Drosophila melanogaster: one gene and its partners. The protein of the gene in region 2 interacts with the protein of the main gene of each other region in a pairwise test. Each region holds a gene or a part of one and is shown on either strand. Other genes may lie near its edges.

Evidence for each region. The genes of interacting proteins can lie anywhere in the genome.
Region 1: the proteins of Pcyt1 (region 2) and Cp15 interact in a two-hybrid assay, tested with the Drosophila melanogaster proteins (one large-scale study listed by BioGRID).
Region 3: the proteins of Pcyt1 (region 2) and RecQ4 interact in a two-hybrid assay, tested with the Drosophila melanogaster proteins (one large-scale study listed by BioGRID).

What each region holds. Positions count from the first base shown.
Region 1 is NT_037436.4:8,725,857-8,730,833, reverse strand, and holds Cp15 (chorion protein 15), read right to left. Parts: upstream 2,354-4,977; 5' UTR 2,308-2,353; coding exon 2,296-2,307; intron 2,225-2,295; coding exon 1,889-2,224; 3' UTR 1,768-1,888; downstream 1-1,767. Other genes in the region: Cp19 (chorion protein 19), read right to left, coding at 316-822, 912-926; Cp18 (chorion protein 18), read right to left, coding at 3,307-3,810, 3,985-3,999. UniProt on the Drosophila melanogaster protein: Chorion membrane (egg shell) protein; plays a role in protecting the egg from the environment.
Region 2 is NT_037436.4:1,543,289-1,553,537, reverse strand, and holds Pcyt1 (phosphocholine cytidylyltransferase 1), read right to left. Parts: upstream 7,447-10,249; 5' UTR 7,232-7,446; intron 6,940-7,231; exon of another isoform or gene 6,862-6,939; intron 6,207-6,861; exon of another isoform or gene 5,949-6,206; intron 5,274-5,948; exon of another isoform or gene 5,138-5,273; intron 4,091-5,137; exon of another isoform or gene 3,628-4,090; intron 2,825-3,627; 5' UTR 2,745-2,824; coding exon 2,250-2,744; intron 2,061-2,249; coding exon 1,737-2,060; intron 1,674-1,736; coding exon 912-1,673; 3' UTR 34-911; downstream 1-33. Other genes in the region: CG32313 (uncharacterized protein), read left to right, coding at 7,844-7,885, 7,933-8,064, 8,133-8,368, 8,435-8,573; pns (pinstripe), read right to left, coding at 9,463-9,884, 9,946-10,249.
Region 3 is NT_037436.4:8,168,873-8,178,773, forward strand, and holds RecQ4 (RecQ4 helicase), read right to left. Parts: upstream 7,107-9,901; 5' UTR 6,985-7,106; coding exon 6,883-6,984; intron 6,830-6,882; coding exon 3,660-6,829; intron 3,597-3,659; coding exon 2,856-3,596; intron 2,794-2,855; coding exon 2,618-2,793; intron 2,559-2,617; coding exon 2,242-2,558; intron 2,181-2,241; coding exon 1,947-2,180; 3' UTR 1,768-1,946; downstream 1-1,767. Other genes in the region: Nmt (N-myristoyl transferase), read right to left, coding at 7,554-8,767, 9,251-9,455; mthl7 (methuselah-like 7), read right to left, coding at 9,804-9,901.

The DNA of each region.
Region 1 (4,977 bases), 7.2 Mb from region 2:
TTGCTGAGTGATTTGCGAGCGAACCGGAGCAAGCAAATCCGGAGCACGTTTCCGCCGAGCCACTCAAAGACATTCCCGGTGGCGACTGCAATCAAATGAACAATGCTCCACCCGCTCTGAACAGCTGCTGCAGCTGCATTTGAGCTCGAAAGACCCGAAAATTTGTTTTCTCATAGATATACAAAAAAATACCTAAAAGCCCCGAAAAATATATATTCCAAATATGATTATGATTTTTTCTTGTTGTTTATTATGTACACGATCAGGCTGAGATCAAGTATCCGCCAGGTTGGCTGGGGATAATCAAGTATGCGCTTAGTAGCCGCTGCTGCGGGGTGCAGAGTACTGGCTAACGTACTGGTTGCCATACTGGTTCTCTGGGACGAAAAGCTTGGCCACTGGAGCAGCAGGGCGGATGGGCAGGATCACCTTGCTGTACTCCGGGGGCGAGACGTAAGCCTTGTAGTTGTTCTGGCCGGGGTACAGGAGGGTGGCACCGGCGGGCTGGACAGTCCAACGGGGTCCGTAGCCGGCACGACGGTAGTTGCCACCGTTGTAGCCACGTCGCTCACCGCCATATCCACCGCTGACCTGGATGGGACGCAGGATCTCGGGGGCATAGCTGCCGCGGTAACCGCCGGCGATGATCTCCACGGGGCGCTCATAACGCTGCTGACCCTCGGCTCCAGCAGCAGCTGCTGAGCTGGCGGCGGAGGCGGCGGAGCTATCCTGACCGTAAGATCGCTGTCCGTAGCTCTGCTGGCCACCGTAGTTGGCGTAGCAGCTGCCCACGATGCAGGCGCAGAAGATGACTGCCAGAGTCTGGAAAATCAGGAAAACTTTCAGTTAGCATAAGTCCGGAAAATGAAAGAGCGGCAGGGAATACGGAAGCGGTTCTCAGGGACACTTACAGCGAACTTGTTCATGGCTATGATGTATGGGTTTTGGCACAGTTGGCTGAATTAACATATTAAATGGCCAAGCACACTTCTTTATATAAGCAAATTTATTGTTGCACTCGAAACGTGATCTCGCCCAGAAATTTATCACGGCTCAAGAGCTGGCTTCGTCGTCTCTTCTCGGCCAGTTTGTTGGGGAACTTTCTGTGGATTTCTAGCTTTTCCTAGCCAGATATCGGGGCTCCACGTTGAGCTCGTTTCGGCTCGAGCAGGTTGCTCACCGCAGCGTATCGTATCGCCTCCATTCGCCGGTTGACCTTCGTTGGGGGTGGCAGATGCAGATGCTCCCAACTGAGGCCCAAAATCAATGGTTGCATTTGGGTGCGTGCGGGAACGCAAGCGGGTTAATGGGATAACGGGCCAACGACTGACCAATGGTTATTGGATATGGATTTTATAATATTATCTATACCTTCAAGTAAACAGAACAAACCAAATTTTAACGATAAAACATAACTTCAGAGTCTATGCCTTTATGCACATTGGCAAATATGTTATTGTAATATATATAGCCCTTTGTTTGATTATACAATTTAAGATGTTCGTCTAAGAATCTATTAGTGAAACTAAGGGTTTCATAGGTGACTAAATTCTTGAGTCACTGAAGCTTAACCTGTCGACTTTGTAGCTTAAAGTGCAATAGTACTTCTATATAGTATTGTACAATCTGCCGCAGTGAATATTCTAGCTGCCCCACTTTGAAACCCATCTTGTGTGTGGAATAATAATAATGACCCACCGCTAAATCTTAACCCGAATGCGCTGAAAAGTATGTCACAATGCAAAACACACAATACGTATTTCTTTTCGGTATTTTCCATTGCGTTCAAGCTGCTTTTATTCACTGATTCTCAGAGTTTCGCCATGACAGCCACTCGAGGATTTTAGCAAGGAGTCGATAGTTCAATTCACTGCCGATGAAGCGAGAATTAGTAAGCACGTTGGCCGTAGCCGTGTCCGATCTCGTAGCCGCGAGCGCCATCCAACTCGTAGGAGGGAATGGCGTACTGCTTGTAGGTTCCGGGATTCACGGCAGCGGCGGAAGCGGCGGCAGCGGCAGCGGCACTTCCTCCATTACCCTCCGATCGCAGGCTGCGGGGATAGCTGTTGTAGCCACGGGATGGTCCGTAGGCGGGCACCTCCTCGTAGACGACGCGCTGAACAGGACCGTAGCCACCACCGTAGCCACCACCATAACCTCCACGGTTGCCGTACGCTGGGCTGGCGTTGATGTAGGCGAAAAGGGCCAGGGTAACGCAGACAATCTGAAGGTGAAAAGGGGAAATCCGGAGGATCAGTTGGCTGCCACTCCTTCACGGGGACTACCACAACTTACCAGGTACTTCATGGTGAGTGCTTAGTTTTGTTGGTTTGGGGTAATCAATCAAACTATGATTTACCGACCAGAAACGCTCGCTTTTATACGCAAATTTTAGCCTGGACATTTACGTGACCTATATACACTAATTGTTCTGTTTCAGCCCAGAAATGGCATTTCATAATTGCCCGGCTGGAATATACTCACATTTGATTTATGTACTTGTTGTCAAGCCATTATAAAATCGCTTGGTTACGCGATGTGCTATTCTACCGGGTGTTGGGTAGTGATAGCACTACGAACACGCGACTCTTCCAAATGGGAACCACGAACGCGTTTATTTTCGAATACAGTCCAAAATTTGTTGAATTGAACTTTATATTATCCACATTCTCGGGGGTAATGGTTTCCAGGTCGGTTGTGTCCGGAACTTGGCTTGTCTAAGTGAGGATTCTTCTAGAACTGGTTCCAGCCGGTTTTTCTGATAAAACCTATATAGAATCATCCCTTTAAAGTGACCACTAGTCACATACAAAACTTAAAATTATAACTAAAACATTTTAAAGTATTTCAATCATTTTGAAATTTTACAAAAACATAATTTCAAGCAAAACTATATTCTATCTAATCTCATTTTATCTAATAGGTTCTTTACTTATGGTAACTTAAAAAAGTCAAGGCTTATTTGACGAACTATAGTTTTAAAGTGGCCCCACAAATGAATTTAGTTTTAGCTTTTCAGCTTCATTCGCCATGAGAATTATTCTTTAGCACTTTAAGCAGCATTTTCATTTAACTACGAAACCACGAAATTTTTGCTGGCTCAAAGTATCGCTTGGCATTGCAATGAACCGCAAGTCTATGCCAATTCAGCTAAGATATGCAGATCTCAATTCTCGGCCCGAAACTAAAAACCCAGCAAGAATACAGTACTCAAAATTTTAAGTCTTGATGTTTTGGCTTTTATTATTATGACCTAGTTCCTTATGGGCAGGTAAGTTTTTGGTTCACTGTTCAACGTTTTGCCACTTAGTAGCTGGGCCTCTTGTAGCCCTTCTTTCCGGCGGCCACGGAGCTGGCAGCAGCGGCTGCGGAGCCTCCCTTCACCTTCTCGCTGTGTCCGTACTCCTGGTTCACGTAGCTGGTGGGGGGATAGACGGGCTGGGCGTAGCGGGGAGCCTCCTTCCAGACCAGAGGAGCTCCAGCGCTGGGAGCGGCCAGGGCGAGCTTGGCGAGGGCAATGGCCTGGGCATCAACTGGTGGGGCACCGCCGTAGCCGGAACCGGAGTACTGAGATCCCACATTGGCACCGCTGTAGGCAGAGGACACGGGCACAGGCACCGACTCGTAGGCACCGCCATATCCTCCATGGTTTCCGCCGTATCCACCACCGTATGAGGGAACGATCGCCTTAACGGTCAGGGCAGGCTGCACCTGGTAGGCATAGCCACCGACTGGGGCACCACCGTATCCACCACGGGAACGTCCGTAGGAGTTGGCCGAAACGGCAGAGATGGCGCAGAGGCAGATGCACTAAGGGATTCAAGAAAAAATTCAATTAATTTGGGTTTAGACTGAAGTGTATTAGAAAAGAAAGATCCAATCATATTATCCAATTATTATAATATGTAGTTATATTTTATTGAAAGGATCATACTGGACTCAGTTGAGGTGTCAATAGAAACAATATTGGAACTTAAGGCTTACCATGAACTTCATCATTCTGAGGCTGAGTTGGTTAGTTGATCGATGCGAAGGTAACTAATGTCTTATTCTGGCGCAATGTTTTGTTTTTATACCAGATCCAGGCAGAGGCCCAACTCTTACGTGACGAATATGATGCAAGTTTCGGCTCTCCGGGTTCCCGCAGACGCAGTTCCAGGCCTCGCCTCTTTGTCCAGCAATCTTGAGACGCCGCCGGAGACGTGCAGCCAGGCCGAATCCGCACTGGCCAAAATGCTGGCTCTCAATTCGGGCCGGTCCAGATAGCAGGCGTCTGTGCTTACGCCATCGTCTACCAGAGACGAGACCCATTACGTAAGATTCCGACCGCATGACTCTTCGTGCTCCGGATCCGCATAGTTTCGATCAGTATTGCAGTTGCTTTGCCCCACGGTGCCGAGAGCTTGACACCGATTTTTCAGTGACACAGTGAAGTCAAGGCAGTGGCCTGAAAATTCTGCTGCGTTGGTAGAATTTATATACAAAAGCAAAAAAAATTGAGATAAAATTACAATAAAATTATAAACACAACCGTTCCACTTTCCAAACTGCCGCACTAAGCTTTTTATAACATTCAATTGGCGCTACACAAATTGTGAATGGCTTATGGGCGGGCGCAAACATTTAATAATGAATAATAAATTATTTAGATGTTGGCCAGGCTCAGGGTACCAGCATCCAGTAGCCAGAAGACGAGTGAAAACGATCTTTCTCCGTATGCATTTTCTCTTCAAGATTGCTTTATTGGGATTTAAGCTAGTTGCTTTGCTCTTAGGAATTAAGTAAAAATATTATAAGACTGGAAACTGGAACTAGCGCCAACGACGACACGATAAATATTAAATAGTAACATTATTCGCAATACAATGCAAATGTAAGTCGGCTGAAACCTCAAGCCAAGATTGACGGATCTGAACATCCATCACAAGTCCGATATAGCCAGCTTGTTGAACAAGATATTTAGCGGAGGCTAATCTA
Region 2 (10,249 bases):
CGGGTCGGTCGCCTGACTTGGCACGGGTCCGCCGATTCGATCAGGCGATGGGTGCGCATCTATATATAAACCGCAGCGCCATTAAACAAATCAGTGAACCGCTTCAAGCCGGTGAATGGGCAGCTAATTGCGAGGGAATGGGTGTCCAATCAAGGCAAACGGTTTCATCATCATCGGTGGCGCGCGCTCAAGAATTCCAGCAGTGCCATGGATGGCTGCTGAATCGGATGCGCAATTGCTGGATAAACGTATGAGATAGCAAACTGATTCACAAGCCACTCGCTTTACTTCTATTTCCTTTCGATTCAATGTTTATTTTTCAAAAAATATTTAACAAAGCATTTGCAATAGTTCCGCTATTGCCAACTGTTACTAATTACTTGTTTTTGTTTTTTGCATTTTCCGAATGTATTTCGTAATTTGTTTGTTTGGATTTCTCTATATTGGTTGGTGTTCTGGTTGCGGTGTTGTTAACTTAGTTTAATGTTATGCGAAATAATTTAATATAAATATTTCTAGATATTTTCGGCACCTGAATCTGCCGCCACTGCCGATTGATTTCGTGCACAGTCCGTCGAGTGCCTAATACAAAAATGAGTCTTTTCCGCGTTGGTGGTTGCTTGTCCCACACACACACACACACAGCTAAATTAGCTACAGGATTCCCTCGATTCTCACAGATGGAGATGGGCAGGTGGAGTTGAGGCAGGAGGAGAACGAGTGCCAACTAAAACATTGGGATTACAATACCACTTAGGGCTAGAGTAAATATAAGTGTGTGTTCGTGGAGCCTGCGTGGCGATCCTGGGGCATCTATAGTGTGCCGTCGAACTAGTTGCAAGCAAGTCCATTTACAATAGCATTAAAGACATTAAGAGAAGAAGAAAAGATCGGGCTGCCCCGCAATAGAATCAATTGCTTCGACGCTCGTACTCCGCATCCGCATCCGCATCCTCGTCCCCATCCGCTTCCAAGTCGGGTGATTGGCTCTGCAGACTCTGGTAACTGCGGCGGGCCAGCGAGGAGCGCTTCTGCTTCGGCCTCTGTTTGCCGTTCAGCGATCCACTGCTGCCGCTGCCGCTGCCCCCGCTCAACTTCTCGGCCATCTCCAAGTACTCGTCAATAGTTTCGCTGTAGTCCTCGCCGCCCTCCGTGTCATCACCGTTCACTGATCCCGACGGGCTGCCCGGCGGACTGAGTGCCTGCAGCAGCTTGCCCTTCGACTCGTTCCACAAATGATTCAGGTTCTCACGTCCGAACAGCAGCAGGAAGGTGTCGATGAATTCGCGCGACTTCTCCTCCCACTTGGTGATGATGTCCACCTTCACCTTGCTCAGCTCGCGCTTGCCGCGCGACTTCAGCTCGTCCATCTTGTTCTGCAGCCGGAACTTCTTCTCGGACAGGAACGACACATTGAGTTCCTTGGCCGAATAGCCTCTGGCCAGATTACGACGCACATACAGATCGTAATCCTTGACGATCCGGGCTACGATGTCCGAGGTGGACACACCCTCAGTGCGCTCCGTGGCCACAAACATGCCGCGCGCCTTGAGAGGAGCATAGATGTCGTCCATGCCATCGGTTACATACGGAATGTCGTCGTGGGCCACAAAGTCGATTTTGTTGTCGGCGATGAATTCATCGGACAGAGTCCATGGCGCATTCTGGACGATCTGCAAGACAGAGTAAGATGCTATAGACTGAAAGATCTCTAATCAGTGCCGGGCAGAACATACCTCGTCCACATAGCGGCAGTGACGCACTCCCTCGTATCGCTCGAAGCCGTTCATCACGGTGCGTCCCTTCATGCGGTGGGTGAGCTCGTCGTTGCACACGCCCACAATTAAGTACACGTTGGGAAAGATGTTCTTGGCCTGCATTAGTTGGCGGGCGTGGCCCTGGTGGAAAAGATCGTAGATGCCATCGGCGTAGACCCTCACCCTGCGGGTCGTCTGTCCGGAGCGGGCCATCTGGTAGGTGATCCTTTGAGTGTAGTCACATCTATCCCGCTCCAGCATGGCCTCCTCGTCGTGAGAGTAGGGCGCCGGCTTGCAAATTGTCTGCAGGAAGAAAAGTTCCCGATTAGTTGGGCTATTCAACTGGACGATTGTGTCCTTGGTCTACACATTCTTTCTCGATCTTATCACACATCGTCGGAAATATACGACTCACGACTCGAACATCAATTTCAAACGATTTCAGCTACTACGATTTAGACTAACTTTGCATCCTAACTCTTGACTACTTACCGCAAAATCGGAGGCCCCGCTGAAGAATTGCTGCGAGGTGGATGCGGGCACCACCCGGTGATTCGGCGACGCCTGCTGCTGCGGGACGTACTTCCGCTTGACGCCGTTGAGGTAATCCGACTGTGGGGGCAGCAGGTCCTCGGCGGCTGCCGCTTCGCCGCCATCGTCGGCGTCGCTTTGTGAGATGGTGCGTGTGCTGTCCCGCAGTGTGGTGGCCGAGGTGGTGGGCTCGCTGGCTCCCTCGCCGACCACCAAGACACTCTCCAGCTGGCCGGGCCTGCTCTTGGACTTGCCGGGGCTGTTTGTGCGCTGATCCTGAACTTCCGATACCTTTGTGGCGCTGCTGGAGGCGGTGGACGAGGGCATGGCAATGGCTATCTCGTAGGTCCGCTTCCGGGTGGTCAGTGTGGAGCCGGGGGACGCGCTGCTGCTGGGCGTGGCCGGTGGCGATGTGCTATTAATTGTGCTTTTGGCGAGTATCGATGAGGTGGCCATCGCAGCGAATGTTTGGGAGCGGCAGTTTTAACGGCTTCGCGACGCGGTGACGGAGGAACAGAGATTCAATTGACTTTCAGCTGGAAGAGATCGAGAAACAGATTGGTTACCATCAATGCTCTACATTACTTTCCCATATTTTGTGTGTTACGTTTCGTTTACATCACATTTAGTCTTATGAAATTATAAAGTTTTTCTTTGAAACCGCATTTGGTTAGCTTTGCATTCTGTTTATATGTAGTTGCAAGCATCATTTATCAAATTTCTTCATTCGCTGGATTTTATTCAAATTTCCCTTTGCCAATTTTTCCACCACTCCAACTTGTAACTTTTAGCCAAAGGGTTAATAAGTTTTCTCAAAAAGGAATAACAATTTTACTTCAATGAACCAACACAAGTTGTATTCTTGTTTTGTTTAATCGACACATATGCACTTGTTTACCAAGCAATTTATAAATAAAATCCAATAAAGCAGTAAACAATTCGAAATAAACAAAGTTATTTTTGAACTACAATTTAATGCATTGGTGCATAAGCAAAAATATATTACACATTCGCGCAGCTAATGGAAAGATACTTTCTTGTGAAACCATTTTTATGTAATCAGATATTCCCTTTTCATTAACCCAAATATTTATGACTCGGGTGGCAGTAGTTCTGACTGTTTTGCGCTGACGACACGTGACACCTGACCCCGCGCCCCCAGCCACGCCCCTTTTCTTCGAAGTTGAGCCACGGCCAAATCGATTTCAGTTTTAATTGCCAAATGGCCGATTCAATTCGCCACGCGCATCGCACCAGAGAAATTCCGCAGAAAAAAAAAACGCAACTGAAACAGCGGGTAAACAACAACACGGCTCGGTGTCGGTAATAATAGACATACAGAGACACGTAGTACTCTCGATAGGAGCGGGATGATGAGCAAGTGAAGCGCTGGCGGGGAAGGCAGCAGGGTGGGCGGCCAACCCAGCGCAGAACTAGTTCCGAGTATGCAGCGCCACTTTACGTAAACAAGTGCAGACGGAACACGTGAGCCGGACACGATGACCCATTCCCCCCGAGAGCTGGGCGCCAATCCTCTCGTGCTCCATGGCACACCCAGCAAAAGCAGCACGCAGGAAGTTACAGTTGGGATTAGTTAAGTCATATGTACATATTATTTCAGCTACCGGGAATTTTCAATGACGAATTTCCCGAAGGTCGTTCTAAATCAGTTTTTGTGCCAAAAAAAAAAAACGATGCTGCGTGCGAAATAATTAAACAAGATCGTCATATGTGCACATATGTACATAATTAGCATTGCGTATTTTGGGGCATTTGCTTGGAACTACATAATTGTTCATAATAAATATACAATACGTCATAGAAAAAGTAGAAATTCCTCATTTTTTAAATGCTTCTTTCGATAATATTGTAAATAGGCCCACTGTGCGGTCAGCTGTCTCGTGCGTGGCTAACAATAATTTTAGGTAGACGATTTCCCATGTTTATTCATCGTGGCACACATGCCTATTTACATATGTATCTACGTGTGTGGATAGCGTCTGCATATTTCTTGGCATTGGGAATACGTCAGAGATTTCTACACCTTATCTGGAGGAGTCCCTCCTGGCGACTCCAAAGGGGAGCAGAGTGCTTGATTTTGTGTTCAAGATTTGCCTTGGACGTGAGTCACTTGGAAGCCGCTTACAGTTCAAGTTCAAGCCATAAAAATAAAATCCGAGAGATTTTCTGAATAATTTCGGATCTGATGTAAGCGCTGTTTGAAATTTAACGAATTTATTGTACCTTCCCCGTGGACATGCTAATTCTGTTGCCAAGTCGAATTTCGGGCACCTTCGGCAATCTTCAGCTGTCGTACGTCATAAGTCAGAGTCGTACGATCTACAGTCACTGCTCGCTATAAGAAACCTTTCAGTTCTTCAAATGTATGAAAATATGAATAATGACAAAAGTTATGTTGTTTCCTTGATTGCTTAATCTAATAATTACTAGGATTTCCTTTGTTTTCTGAAAACATAGCAGTAATGACTCACGATTTCTATAGTTTCTTTTTTTTTCAAATCACTGTGCCACTAGTTTAGATTAAAAATATAAGTGATTTAACAATTTGCGATAATAAATGAATTCGTATCACGATGATTTTTGGAAACAAATATCTTAAGTAATAGCAAAGCAAGTCAAACATATCTAATCTCACTGGCGAGTGCCTACTGTAATTACTTTGGCTTTTAAACTGTGGTGACGAAGTGCCACCTCCATTGAAGCGAATCCAAACGTAAACAAAGCCAGGGGAGATTTCCATTTGAAGTGGACAAGTGTGGAACCCGTAAAATCGATTCCCAAATTGCCGGGCACTAAAAGCAGGTGAGAGATAAGATCCCCTGAACTACCTGCTGCTAACTTATCTCGGAGAAGAACAATATTTCTGCGCCTGACGGCCGCTTCCGCTGCACTCGAATCGCGAATCGCGGGTATCTGGAAACACGATAAATGCGTTTGGCGGAAACGAGCCATGTTTCACTGTTTCCAGCGATAAGACAAATTCGCCTTTAATTATGGTTAGCACTCGACAAACACCCTGCATGTCTGACAATCACACCGCCTGATCTTTGCCAGCCTGGCAAAACGTATGGCGGGCCAAGTTCGCTATCAGCACGGACTTATTTCATTATAATACACTTCTACGGACTACACATCGTACGTATTTTCTTCAGACAGAGGTCAGGCTAACCCTGCGATCGGGGAATGTGGGAAACTACTAGCAAGATCGTAATTAAATCACGTGATTAGCTGCTACTACTTCAATCATATACAATAAATGAATACATAGTTGAAGCCATGTTCTTAAATCTATAATATAGTTTTGAAGAAGCTGGCCATAAAGTGCTGCTTAATAGTATTTTCTAGTAAATAAAATCCTTGGAACCACTTCCATTATCTCAAAAGCACTCAACAAACATAGAGAATCTTTGCAAATATTTACACAAATGGAAAATTTACACTAAGAACAAAAGCAAGTCGTTCTAAAAATGTAACCGTAATTGACCCTTAATGGTTGATATAATTATTTAGTTACGTTTTTCGTGTCACTACGAAAACCGGATGTGTTCAGATAACTCGGTACAACAAATTAAATTAGATCATGCGGGAAGCGTGAGGAGATAAACACATTTTTTAATACAATTAACTATTGTTTCAAACCTCATAGTTTGGGGCTAACATTTCCTAACAGGCCGAAGAACTCTGCCGAATCTCACGGCAAAGTAAGAGATGATTTTGGAGTTTGCCTATTGGATGTTCGTTCGCTTTTGGCCAACAGCAAAAGGTCGAAAGTACAGTTCTGTGTGTGAGCCCAAGCCCACTGAGTATCAAAGACTACCTCGGGCTTTATTCAAATCTGCGTGCGTACGAGTGCTTTCGCCATTGATAAGCTACGATCGGAGTACAATTATAGACTGATCGTGGGGTGTACTCCATGGTGCACACAAGCAATTTGCATTGATAACCTTGGGGCGTGGGCTTATCAATAATGGACTTAACGGAATAAGCCGAAAAACCCAGTTGACGTCAACTGTGATTTTCGGATGCTACGTGTGAGAACGCTCTGGGAACTATCGGTCTGGGAGTAGGAACTGTAGTTAACACACTGGCACGTTTTTCTGGGGCACCCTACTTAGCATTTACAGCGCTTTAGGGCTCCAAGGCGAGTGATAAGATTGTCTAGAAAAATTGCACAATGCCCTATAACTATTGTTGTTCATATATAAATATGTATATGTCCGTCTCTTTTTCTCAGTCGCCTACGCACCGAACACGAAGTTCATTGAGAAGCCGAAACAGCTGACTCTGATAGTGCGTGTGATCTCTCCAAACACGCGCGTGCACTCTCTCGCTCTCCGCCACTCTGTTATGTTTGGCTGGAAAAGAGCGACCACGCAACGCAACGGTAAAAAGGCGCTTGGGAAAGTGGAGCACGTAGCGTGACTAACACTTGCCCCATTGGAATGACGCTGCCGCTGGGGAAATCGTACGATCGCAGGGTAAAGTACGCCACCAAAATGACGCGTCATCGAGCGAGATGTTGAGAGAGCGGAGGCGTGGGGCGGGTGCTCACCTACTGCAAGTTCGGACACGAAAAATCATACGACAAGCATGACGTGGCGACGGCCAATTAATGGCGTCGTCTTGCCGGCTGCAAAAAGCGAGAAGGAAAAAATCGATAAGCGGTGGCAGCGCAGCAGCTGTTCGTCGCGGGGAATAAACAGAGCAGAGCAGAGCAGGAGACGGTGATTATGTAAACAAGCCTTGAGGAGCAAGAATCCAAAACGCACATTCGGCCTCTGTAGAAAAGACAGAGAACAAGCTTTCGCTCTCTCTCCCTTCTGCTCACGTCATCCGCTCGGCACCGTGAATGTGTCTGCATTTCCCAGTGACCCGCATTGAAAAAACGCACCGAACCAAAATAGTTTCCACTCTCCACTTACTTTCCACTTTCTTCCAACTCGGAACGGTTCTTTCGATTATCGATTGGAGCTGGTCCCTTCTTTTCTCTGCTTGTCGAAGCAAATCTTCGTTTTCGTCTGGAATGACACACACACGAAACGCGGACCACAAGTCACCCCACTCGGTCTGTTAACAATTCGTTTGTTGTTCGTCGGACACAAACACAACTTCGAATAACCCTAGTGAACAAAAGTTGTTAGAGGTGGAAGCGCATCAGTTCCATTTCGATACCATCGATGACGCATGGGGAGACCGATATCTTATCGAATACTTTCACTGTTTTGGGTCGTGGAATGAATGAACTTTAAACAGTTATCGAAATAGTTTAAAAATTCAATTTTTAAATTTGTAGAATGACAATAAAGTGTCAAATTTAAATTTAATTTAATAATAATTCAAAAATAACACTGGCTATGAATCCTAAACCTACCATTTGCGGCAAAAACGTAACATGTTCATTCACAGCATGAAATCTCGAATTCTCGAAATTGTAAATCATATTAATAAAGTTTCCATAAACCTTGCGTATTTAATAATACTATGTGAAAATTGTCATATTCTGGAAAATCTTTCTGCGAAATAAGTAACAAGCAATGAGCATAAAAATTATTTTGTTTTTAATCGCCATCGAGGTAGTACGATCTAACATTTTTCTTCAGTCTGAGAACCCATTTCCTTCTAGTGCAACCAGACAATCGGCATAGGTCTTCGCTCCTTAATCCTGGAGGCTCACAATCGAAGGAGGGCCAAGTACGGTAATCAGCCCATGGTTCTGGACGAAGAACTCTGTACAGAGTGCTCAGAATACGCAGATGCAAGTATTTCAGCCTCAGTATAAAATCCTAAATTATTTAAAATTGAACAGTCTTCATCGTCCTCTAGGAAATAGTCAGGAATGAAGGTGTATATACAGAGAACTACTTGGAATACCTGTATGCAACGGACCCAATATCAGCAAAGCACCTTCAAGTCGTCTGCGTTTTCCGGGAGGCCTTGCCTAGGGAATGTGTTCGAATTTGGTTTCATTACCGAGGCTTCGCCGAGAACACAAAGTATTACAGGTTTACGGCCATGATATGGAACGCCTCCACCAGACTTGGCGTTGGACTAGGCAGAATGTGAGTATCTGATAAAATTACTTCTCCATGGCAAGACGAAGTGCAAGATAATTGCGTCTTCCGCAGACAGGAAACGCGATACCTAGTGGTGAGATATGCTCCTCCTGGAAACATTTTGCGAGAGATGGCGTCCAATGTTCCCAAGCGACCGACAACGTTTTGGGATGCAGAACACATTGTTGACCATGGGTTTGAGTTCGCATAACATTTGCTCGCAATGGCGTCAACAATATATTTGGTAACTGGCTGTCTTTCGTAACGACCTTATTAAATTTATATCTGTGCGGAACTTCCAGAATTTTGTAGATTTTCCAGCGGTATTCGAACTAAATCGTATATATCATTTGCGTATTTGTATTTATTGACTTTCAGGGTCTTAAGGTAGTGTCTGCAAACGTGTTTGGCTAAAGTGTAAAAATAAAGCTTGATTATAACATAAACACCTTTGGGTTAATCTCATTTCACTCACTCAAGTACCAAAATATAATAATATACAAAAAATATGTACGCCATAAGTTGGTCGTTATAAAAAACAAAGATTCTTTGGTAAAATCAACTAAACTAAAAGCTACTGTTGATAATGGAACTCAGGATAATTGACTGGATTTGGTTTCGGATTGGGACACCTTATCTACTAAGCTACACACACGCATACGTTTCAAATATATGGAGATTTTTGAACAACATTTTAGAATTTGTTATAGTAAACGTCTTAATTGCACAGTAAATGTCTTTAAAATTCGATTGCGTCGATGACAAGGAATTTTGTTCAACTTTGGCTTCAGTGTTCCCGGGACTGGCATCCATTACCCTAAAACGTTCAGCGTTTGACTCTGTTTCTTGGCAAGCTGTCGAAGGGTCGAATGGCAAGTGGTTAGTGGCTAGGCTTGGGATTATAGTTAGAACTAGAAATAGGTGTAATAGGGGCAGGAGTTCCTCCGCTTCGCATTAAAAGCTAACAACGAATTCGAGAGTTCCGAGATTCCTCAAGAGCATATGTATGTGAGTATTCTCTAGGTCACTGGTTGCAAATGTCCGTGGGTGAGATGTGGCATGAGTATTGCAGTGGGAGCGTTAGGTATTGCATCCGATCCTCAGCATTGGGACGCGATGCGAATGCCCTGTGTGATTGAGTTTTCCAGCACGATGTGGCAGTCGTCCAGCGGCTCCAGGATTTGGATGAGAAAGGTGAGGAGGTTGCGACGCCTAAGGAAGCTCTCCTCCTCGTACATCTCGTGCGTCACCTTGGTCAAGGCCATTGGCTTTATCAGACGCGTCAGCAGGTGCTCCCGCAAGCTCAAGCAGATAAGCAGCTGGAACTTGCCGTCCTTGCCGAGTGCCGTGCCGTTGATCTCGTCCATAAGCTGTACGTACAGACGCCAAATGCTGGAGATTTCCCGACGTTGCAGGCTGTTTCCTCCGCTGCCGCTTCCATTGCTAAACGAGGAGTCTAGGCTTGAGGATGAGTCCTCCAGCTCCATCTGCAGATTGTGTTCAAACAGCTCCTTGATTTTGGCTGTAATGGTAAAAGGTTTATTCATAAAGCAAATTAAAGCCCTAATGTCTATGTGTCTTACTGAAATAGTCCCAGATGTACAGATTTCGTCCAAAGAATCGCGCCGACCGGAAGCCGCAGAGGAAGACCTGCTCCAGACACTTGACCAAACCATCGTCCCCGCACAGCAGGTTGGTCAGGGTGCCCACATCCCGATCCCGGCTGGGCTTATAATGCCATTTGACCAGCACGTTGACGCAGTTGCCCAGCTGGTGTTGAATCTCTGATGGTGCCAGTGTCTCCTGGCGCTGCACACTGGGGCTCCGCGTCCGTGGAGGGGTGCGCGTATCAGATCCAGGAACTAACTCTGCATTCTTCGCGTTCGT
Region 3 (9,901 bases), 6.6 Mb from region 2:
GAATAAACGCTCGATGAGTGACTGCAGTCATAAATTTAAAAAAAAAACCATTGCACTTTATGATTTTAAAGAATCCCAGACATTTCTGTCGGTTCCTTCATTTGGCCCATCAGTTTCAGCGCTTTTCAGTTCTATTATAATTTACAACTACCATTAGTCAATCCAAAAAAATTAGCCAGGAGAATGCCAAGAAATAGTGATTGAATTGCCATTTGATGTTGATCAAAATTATTCACCAGCAAAGTGACAAGAAATACTCAAAATTCAGCTCGCAACGAAGCGAAAAGAAGCTGAAATAGGAAAACCAATTACCACAACGTTGGCAAATGCTTTTGGAGATGATTGAAACCGATGGAAGATCCATTCAAAAACATAAAAGAAACTGTCTAGAAGGCCAAAACCATCTGAACCCAGCCTGATCGGATTGCAAAGTTCACAGTGGATGATGATGATGCCGATAGACAGCGCTTTGGGGGAAATTTCATGCAGAAAATGGCATGAGTAAAACGAGAGGAGATCACATTGCCCAGATACTAGAGTACTTATGAAGGAGCACGGCCAAATGCCAGTGGATGCATAACGAGGTGCGAACAGGGTCAGCTCTGGTAGCCTTTAGCCATAGCCGTAGTTGAACTCAATCGAACGGTTGGTCGGTTGGCCAACAGAATGTGGCCTAAAGCAGGTACGTAAATTGTCAGCAAAGTGCTAAAGTTGGCTAGTGAGCGAGGGGAAATAGTGTTTCGATATATGATAGCAATGTAAAGATCTTCTATGCTTTCAACATAAACTGTTGTCGTTGAAGAATTCTCAACATTAGCAATCATAATACAAAATCGAAGTCTATATATTCCTTGTAAAGCAAGCCCATCTCAAGGTATTTTCTTTGGAATGTCAGCAATTGTTTAATATTCAGCATACGCCATGTTGTCCGTTGCATCAGCTAGCTGGCCAGTCAAGTTGCTCGTTGCTTTTAGTTTTTCCTTTATTTTTTATTATTTCCTATCTCGTTGCTTGCATTGTGGTATTTGCCTGCTACCATTTCAATTGATTTTCGCTTTTATGCCTCGAAATTGGAGTAAAATTGGAGGCAAGGTCAGCTTGCTGCTCGATGGCTTCGCTGGCCATCTGCACAATGTGGATGATCATGGAGCGAGGATGATGACGTTGACGTCTCACTCTCAGAACAAACAAGTTGTAATTGGGTCGACTTTTGTGTACTCGAGTCTCGTTTATGATTATAAACAACATCGGCACGAGAAGCCAAAGGCCTCACAAAATGGCCAAGTCATAAAAAACCTTTATCAAACGCTTCGCTGATCCGACAACTTCAATGATGTTTCTCTGTTTCCAGTTGTCTGTGCCCTGAGTTGTTGTTAGATCCCCCCATTTGTTGGGTTGTTTGCTTCGCGTTCGTGTGAACTGAGGAAGGACGACCTTTGGCTAGGCTTCGATTTGAAGATGACACCTTCGACCGGGGTTATACATTTCGTGATGTTATTGGGAATGACTCAGCCGGATGTTTGTTTCTTTACGGGCTCCATCGAATTGATTTCTGCTGTTTCATTTGAAGCCGTAGCTGCAATTTGCCTCTAAACGAGCTTGGCATTTGTTTACTTTATTTTAGTGCTCTGTTGTTTTCGGCAATGAAATTATCATAAATTGTTATTGTTCCATTGGCGTGGGATTGTATGGTGCAAATTTATTAGCTAATGAAACACATAGATTTAGAGAGTTTAAAAACCAAGCTAAAAATTTAGATTGTCCGTACGAATTTCTCTTTCCACTCATAATAAGTACAAAAGCTGTTTATATAGAATTTGTAATTTATTTTTGTATTATCAGACTTGTGCGAGTAAAATGTTATTGAATGGCATCACATATTTTTAAAATTCTTGGAGCTATTAATTGGTTAACCATGGTATCGGCGGTTCATCCCGACATTACGGTCACGTACGCCTCTTGATAATAGCCATATTGGCCAGGTGCAGGATGCGATTGAAATCCACTTTGACGTGGGCACGCCAGAACTTACAGCGTCCCCAGATGACAGCCGGATAGTTCGGGCTCATGATGCCATGAAAGATGCGCGCAATATTACGTCCGGTAAATGTATTGTCCGGGTACATGTTTATTAGAGCATGAACGTCGTCTATGATGTTCTCATCCGGCACGTTACTTGGCTAATGGACAGAGAGGAAAGCAATAAAAGTAAGAAATTGAAATGTGTTGCCAAGCAATTACCTCTATTTCCAGCTCCAGATCCTGTGGGTAGTCATTGGCAAAGTAGTTGCGCACGATAGCCTTTAGCTGCTCGCCCCGATCCTGCGGAAAATCCGCATTGCAGCACTGGCCACAAGAGCTGTAGGCCACAGCAGCCAATCCATGGGCCACATATTGCAGCTGGATGAGCTGCGTACGCTCCTGTTTCACGGATCGCGTATAGAGAGTGTCCAGAGCGTTGTCGATCTCTGATTCGGTAAAATCGCCCGGCACCTTGATGCGGAATCCCAAATCATAGAAGCTCACCGTGATGGGCGATCGCTTGGGATATCCATTTACTATCGAAAAATTAATTTCTAATTAAACGGATCCTTTTTTGAACGGATTACCATCTCACCTTTTACCCACTCCAGATCCTTCAGTTGGTATTTGACCACACCACTGTTCCAGCCAATTCCTGCCGCGATATCTGTGACCGAGAATTCTATGATGTTAGAGTCCTCCTTGAATGTCTTATCTCTAATCTGCAAAGCAATAGCCATGGCCAATGGTGGACATTCCTTTGCAGCATGCCTGTGCAAGGAAAAACCAATAACATTAAACACATACACAATACACGTGTCTAAAGGACTTACTTCAAGTACTTTGGCCCACCATACGAGATTACCTTAGCCATCACATATGCTGAGCTGAGCACACTGATGCACCATCGGGGATCAAGCTCCATGTAGCAGAGCAAAGTAGATATGTTCTCCGCCGGGATGTCCAGCATCTCAACGGTTTTCTCCACGGAAAAGCCAATCTCGTGTCCCGGACACATATGCACTCTAGGACCATCACCTTCAAGGGGAATCGGAAGAGCTGTCCTCTTGGAAGCCTCCTTGTCACAGCTACATGGCACAAAGATCTTTTGCAGCAGCTTACGGATAACATGCCGATCAATGGAGTTAGAATACACATGGCGACGCAGCTCACTCTGGTCGCCACCCTTCGCATCCAAGAAGAGGTGACAGTGGGAAGGCAACCCGTCGCGTCCTGCTCGACCAATTTCCTGCACATAGCTCTCAAAGTTTCTTGGCATATTATAATGGATTACCGCGCGTATGTCCGGCTTATTGATGCCCATACCAAAGGCAATGGTGGCCACCACAATGCGCAGCTCATTGCTCATGAAGGCCTTCTGAACGGTTCGTCGCCTGGAAGCGGGCATTCCAGCGTGATAGGGCTCAGCCTGCCAATTCACACGTTTACGTTTTTTCGTCTGATCCTGAGTTGGCTCCCTACGGTCTTGCACGCACGTTCTAATAAACCCAGCGATACGCTCACACTCGTCACGACGCGTACAATAGATAATAATGGACTGGCAGGGCTCGAAGCTAGAATGATCAAAATGTATTTAAGTCTCCTTCAAGTTTCAAAGATGGTGGGCCAAGTCTTACCGTTCGCTATTGAGCAGTTGGAGCAGAGCTGCATCCCGGTTCTCATCCTTGGAGACGGACAGCACTAGATTGTCAGGCAGTGGGATGTCGCTTATAATACCACGTTCTCCATCCGATATGCCAAGGTGATTTATAATGCTAACACGCGTTGGCAAAGTTGCCGTGGCTGTTAGCCCCAGCACTGTGCGTACACCGAGATTCTTTCTCAGCACCTTGCAGATCATTAGGTAGCTGGGTCGAAAGTTGTGACTCCACTGAGACACGCAATGCGCCTCATCAATACAAGCGAATGCAATGGGCGGCAGCTGGCGAAGAATGGCTCCAAATCCTGTGGCTCGTTCCCCGGCGACAACCGCCTCCGGAGAGACAAGAAGAATGTCAATCTCCCCATTGGCAATCATCTGCTGAATCTTCATACGCTGCGGCGCGGTCTGATTAGTGTGCAGGCAGTGAGCTCGCAGAAAGTGCGGCACCCCGGTCACCTGATCCTCCATAAGTGACACCAATGGTGAGATGACTAGGGTAATAGCTCCCACTTTCCGGCTATACAAATAGGCGGGCAATTGGTAGCACAAAGATTTGCCGCTGCCCGTGCTAAGTGTAACTAGCGATGATAGTCCAGAGAGAGTGCGCATGATGGCGCGATCTTGACCTTTCCTGAAGTTGGTGTGCCCGAACATGTGGAGTGCCTCTAGGACCTCTGGCGTCGTGTCCTGGACACTGCCATCCGGAAGGAGATCGTATAGGGGCTTCACCCCACCGTGCTGGCTGCGATTCGAACTAGAGGCTGTGGTGTCCAGTCCAGCCTGCTTGAGGAACTCCTCGGGAATCTTGTGGCCGACGTATGTCTTAATAGGTGAAGCTGCTTTCTCTTGCGAAACCGGTTGGCTTAGGGAAGCTTCGACGGCCGCATCTAGGGCCTCGAAATCAACGTCCATTTCATCGCTAGACCAATTTGGATCTGGATGCTGCTGTACCTCCTCATCTCCGCTGCTTTCTTGGTCATCTTCCTCTGACTCGTTCAACTCATCGCCTTGCAGGATGGCTGCATTGGCCGCTTGGGGCAGCCGTGAGATGTTGCGACTGTGTGCCACCACTGCTCCCTGACTGGCCATCTCCTGAGCCTCGGCAAGCGTGGGAAACGGCGAGGGATCCTCTTCCAGCTGTGCCGAAAGTGGCAACAAGCTGTCTCCCTTCACCTTGCACTGCTGAGCGAAATGCCCGACTCCGCCGCACTGGAAGCACGTGAGCACTCCGCCATCACAGCCACCCATATCCATGTCCGGCCCACTCAAGGCAGCCACTCGTTTCTTATGCCGCCACTGTTGCTTCTTGTACTTGCTGAAGTTCACGGACTTTTTGCCACGCACGAATTTTTTCTTTTGAATATTTATGGTCACAAAGTTCTCGTTTAATTTACCAGCTGCTATGCGTTCCTCCAGCTTCTTTCGTGCTGCGGCTCTCTTTTCATCCACTCGAATGTTGGACCCTTCCGACAATCCTGGGTTGGGTCCAGCGGCGAAGGTTCTAATATAGCGCTGGGCGGTAGCATCCGCTTCTTCTAGATCCTGCACATTAATGCGCGGAACGGAGGTAATATCTCCCGCCTCCAAGGCCAACACGTATTTCAAATCTTCTGGATTCAATGGTTGGCGCTCATCCTCTTCTGGATCAGGAGCCGGCTCGACAGCGATGGCTTTTTTAGAGTTCCTCGGCTTTTTCTCCGCCTTGGGTTTCTTTTCGGCCTTGACTTTGGCTTTCTTTTCTGTTTTCGGTTTTGGTTCCGCTTTGGGCTTAGTGGTCTTTTGTTTTCCGGCGGCTTGCTTGCGCTTTGCCTTATCTTTCTTTTTATTCTCTGGTACATATGTAGCATCCTGGTCTTCATCTGCAGAGAAATCTGGATTCTCTTGAGCAAATGTTTCTGTCTCTGGTTCGACTTTGTTGGGAATTTCAACTGGGGCGGCTACTTCCACTTTTCCTGATGCTGTTGAAACAATTTTGCGACGTTTTGATAGTTGCCGATATTCTTGTGGTTCCTGCTCTTCTTCACTCTCAGCCACAACAGAGTCGGAATCCGAATCGGTTTCCTGCTCGGAAGGTGGAGGTTTATTTTTAGGAGCGACTGATTTTTGACTGGATGCAGGAGGTGTGTGATTAAGATGATCTGGTTTCTGGTTCATGCTAGAATTCATATCTGTTTGCAGCTCCTGTATGATTGCCATTTGATCGGGCTTGGCCTGCAACACTTTTTCCTCCTTAACAGTGGGCTTTAGTTTACTTAAATCAAGATTGGCCAGGCCAAAGTTTGTTTTCTTGGACGTACCACTGTTATTATTTGCTTCCGCAAAGGGCACTTCTTCATCAAGAGTGTTTTCCTTTGTATTTCGCCGGAGCCAGCCGTCGTCCACCAGTGTTTTGATACTTTCCTTGCTGTGCTCACTGGCCAGCATTGGATTGTTAGCTATGGCCTGCTGCTTCTCCTTGTACTCCTGGGCTTTGCGTATGAGTATGGTCTCAAAGTCGAGCAGTTCCTCGTGATGATCAGTAGGAACTGAGCTAAGTGATGTGGTGGAACTAGAGGAACTGACACAACGTGAAAGCGGCTTTCGGGGATTTCGTTTAGCAAAACCGCGTGAGGATTGGAATAACTTGGCACTCAAGCTGGGCTTAAGACTAGCGCCCGCTTTGGGTTGCTTTCCGTGCCCCGGAGCGGATTTGGAGGCCTCTACAGGCTGTGGTGGAGCTGGTGGCTTCTTACTCACATTCAAGCCCCAGGCATTTTGGTTGATTGGCAGCTCCTCCACCGCCTCGAATTTGCGAATGACATGGTTTTCATCGCGATTGACCAGATTGGTGAGTACTTGACGATTGGGCAGGTCGATGAGATTTGAGAATGAGCCCTCCACCGATTGTGGAATTTCCTCAAGATTACCAGAGCTCTGCGGCCCCACCAGTGCAGATATATCCAACGGTAGCTGAGGACCTTCATTAAGACTGACGTCCTGGTCCAGCATGCTCACACCGAAATCACTGGCCTGCGACATCTCCAGAATATCGTATCCATCTTCGCTGAGAACATCGTTCAGCGTCTCTTCCAGGAAGGATGTCTTCAGTTTGTAGTACATTTTGTATGAGTCCCGAATCTCCTGACTGGCGTCCCTTATATCATACTGCAACAGGTCAACCAGTTAGCATACTTGTCATATCCGCATCCCAATCTCACCTTCGATGGAACACGGCCATTCTTCTTCTTGAAGTCCTTCTCCCACACCTTGACGCGCAACTTGTACTTTTGGTATTTTAGCTTGAACACCGAATCGTCCATGTCGGCGGCTGTCTTTAATTGTCAATATTATGAGGAAACCAACATTGGAATCAGATTTCGTTAACTAATAAACCAACACAAGTGCAGCTGTTTTGCTTAGCGCGCGCTTTTTCACCGACCTTGCCAGACCAATGGCCATGTGACAGAGTGGCCAGACTATCACATGCTGGGACAGTGGGCAAAAATACAATAATCTGCTTAAAAAAAATAAAAACTTGTCATCTTTAAAAGAGCAGCAAAATAATTTATTGTCAATTATAGGCAATAAAGGTCCAAGTAAACGTTACATTTTTATTGATATTGCTGCGCATTTTATACAATTTGTGTTCGTTCTTGTAGTAAAAAATATCGAAGCTTGGCCGTTGCAAAATGCAATTTTCACAATGATGCTATTTAGGTGTATGCTCGCAAAGGGCTTTCCTCGCTGGAATAACTGAAGATTACAGGTAATAGCTACGTAAATAGGAGCAAAGCAAAGCAGCCGCACGGCACTTCCAGCAGGGTGAAGAAAGCGGAGGAGGGGAGCTGTGAAAGGCAGGGCGAGAATGTGAGCTTAGGTGACAAGGTGACTACATGAGTATCAGAGCAATCTCCTCCGGCTGCATCGATGGACAGCGCCAATTGTAGAGGTAGTACTGCAGGTTTCCATCCCCGGCGCCGAATTTTAGCGGTGCAAAGTACTTCTTGTTCTCCATGAGGTCGAGGGCATTGTACACGTCCATCTGGACATTGCGGGCCGAGATCAGTGCATCGTTCATCAGGTCCAGCCACGGGGTCTTTGTAGACACATTATAGAACGAATATGCGGCACGAACCGTCTTATGCACCGGATGGTGCATCACGGACGATGGCAGGCAGTAGTAGCTAGTCAGATCAGTGATGTTGCCCTTTTCGTCGGCAACCACGAAGCAATCGATAATACCTTCTTTGGGGGTAAACCAATGACGAAACTCTTCCTTGCTGAACACCGGGCTCAGCTGAAAGCGCTTTAGGTAGTCCTCCAGCAGCTTGTGGGCCTTGTCCATGTCCTTCGCTGTGATTCGGCGATAGCCCTTCGTCTTGGGCTGATCGGGTAGCTTGTACAGCTTCATTGTCCGCTGCATGGTCATGTTACGTGCGAGATGAGAGAAACGCACGTCTACCAGCTTCTTGGGATTGAGCGATCGATGCCAATAGCGACAGGTGGCCACTGGCGTGGGCAACACAACTCCAGCTGTATAGGCCGCCTGGAAAATCCCCGTCAGATTGACGCGACGCGTTATCTCCCGAATCAGGACTGGAGCCACCCGTTTGCTGCGCAACTTCTTGTGGACGCATAGGAAGTTGATGTCCACAACCTTTAGCACCTTGTCGTACGACTTCAGCTTGCTGGGAATGGCTGAGATGAAGCCAACCAGTTTGCCGGACTTCTCCACACGAACGCCAACATGCCAATCGCGTTTCCAGCCAGGTGGCTGCAGCGACCACTTTAGAAACTCGGGTTGGTAATCGAAACGGAACATGGCATCATCGTCCTCCACATAGTTCTCATTGAGCAGCGTGTACAGCTCCTTGAGATCATTGGCGTCGTTCAGGTCTAGTGTCACCCATTTGAAGCCGCCTGGCAGAGTGTATGGCAATGCTCTAATCTCACTAATTTCCTTGTTCGGTTCAATGCATTCGTTGGTGGTCACCTGCTCGTCCAGCTTGGTGACTGGCTGTGTGGACCAAAATGCAAACTTCTTGGCCATCTGACGGGTGCTGGCCATAGCATCGGAAACGGCTTGTAGCAAGGCCTGTTTGCCTGAAAGAAACGATGATGCGTTGAATAGTATTATAACATTTTTCGATTAGTTTAAACTGGAATGACTAATCTGCCCCAAAAAAAGCTTAAGGCATCACGACAGTGGACTAGTTTCCCATGACAACAAATTTGCCCAATTTTGGGGTTTCAATGAAGCATCAATCAATGGAATCAACAAGGTAGAAATCTTATATTACACATATTTTATTCGTAATAAAAAACTCAATTGTATCTATGTAAGTATATTCATATTTCATCAAAATCAAATATGTATTTATGATTTATGAGTTGTTTATTTTTCCGTTAGGGCTAATCTTTGGAGTAATTGCACAGAAAATGAAAATTGAAAATTGAATTGAAATGAATAGCACAGCAGTTCAAGTTAGAGAGGTTGGACTGTAGTTCCCGACAAAACCTAACCTCATTTTTTCAGCCGCAGGAGGAGCCTCTAAATGACTTTTCACAGGCATATTGAAAACTTACTTGCATTCGCAGACACTGAAGCCTCATTCTTGGCACCATCAGGCTGCTCCGCATCCTCGTTTCCTGCTGCATTCGTCGATGCCGTGTCCTGGATATTTAAGCCGGCAACAACCTTTTCGAGCATTGCCTCCGATGCGTCGGCCACCTCCTTGGCCTTCTGCTTTAGCTCTTGACCCGAGAGGTCCTCTGCGTTTTCGTTCGGCATATTTTGCACTGTATTTCTTTTTGAACAGTAAAGCAAATTAAAATTGCAATGAAATCGCAAAACTACAAGCAGAGCAGCTGATTTTTTTGGCGATACCTATCGATGTTTTTTAAAGAATCGAAAGTGGCTGGAGAATCAGTGTTACCAGAGGGTGGCGAAGTGAAAAGCTTGTCGCGGTGACCTCTTGGCAGTTTAAAGTACATCGTTTTCTAAAACTATATTTATTTATTGAGTTCAATAAAATTCAATTCAATTCCTTCGTTCAGCAAAGGATATTAATAAAATGAGGGGCTTTAATTGTTTAAAGCTTTAATTGTAAACAATTATTAGAATTATATAGAAACAAGCTTAAGAATCCATCATTAGAGTCCATGTGCTGCGCTTCAGGACGAGCAGAACGAACAAAACAATTCCAAACGCGCTGTGAAAATACTCGGATATTATCC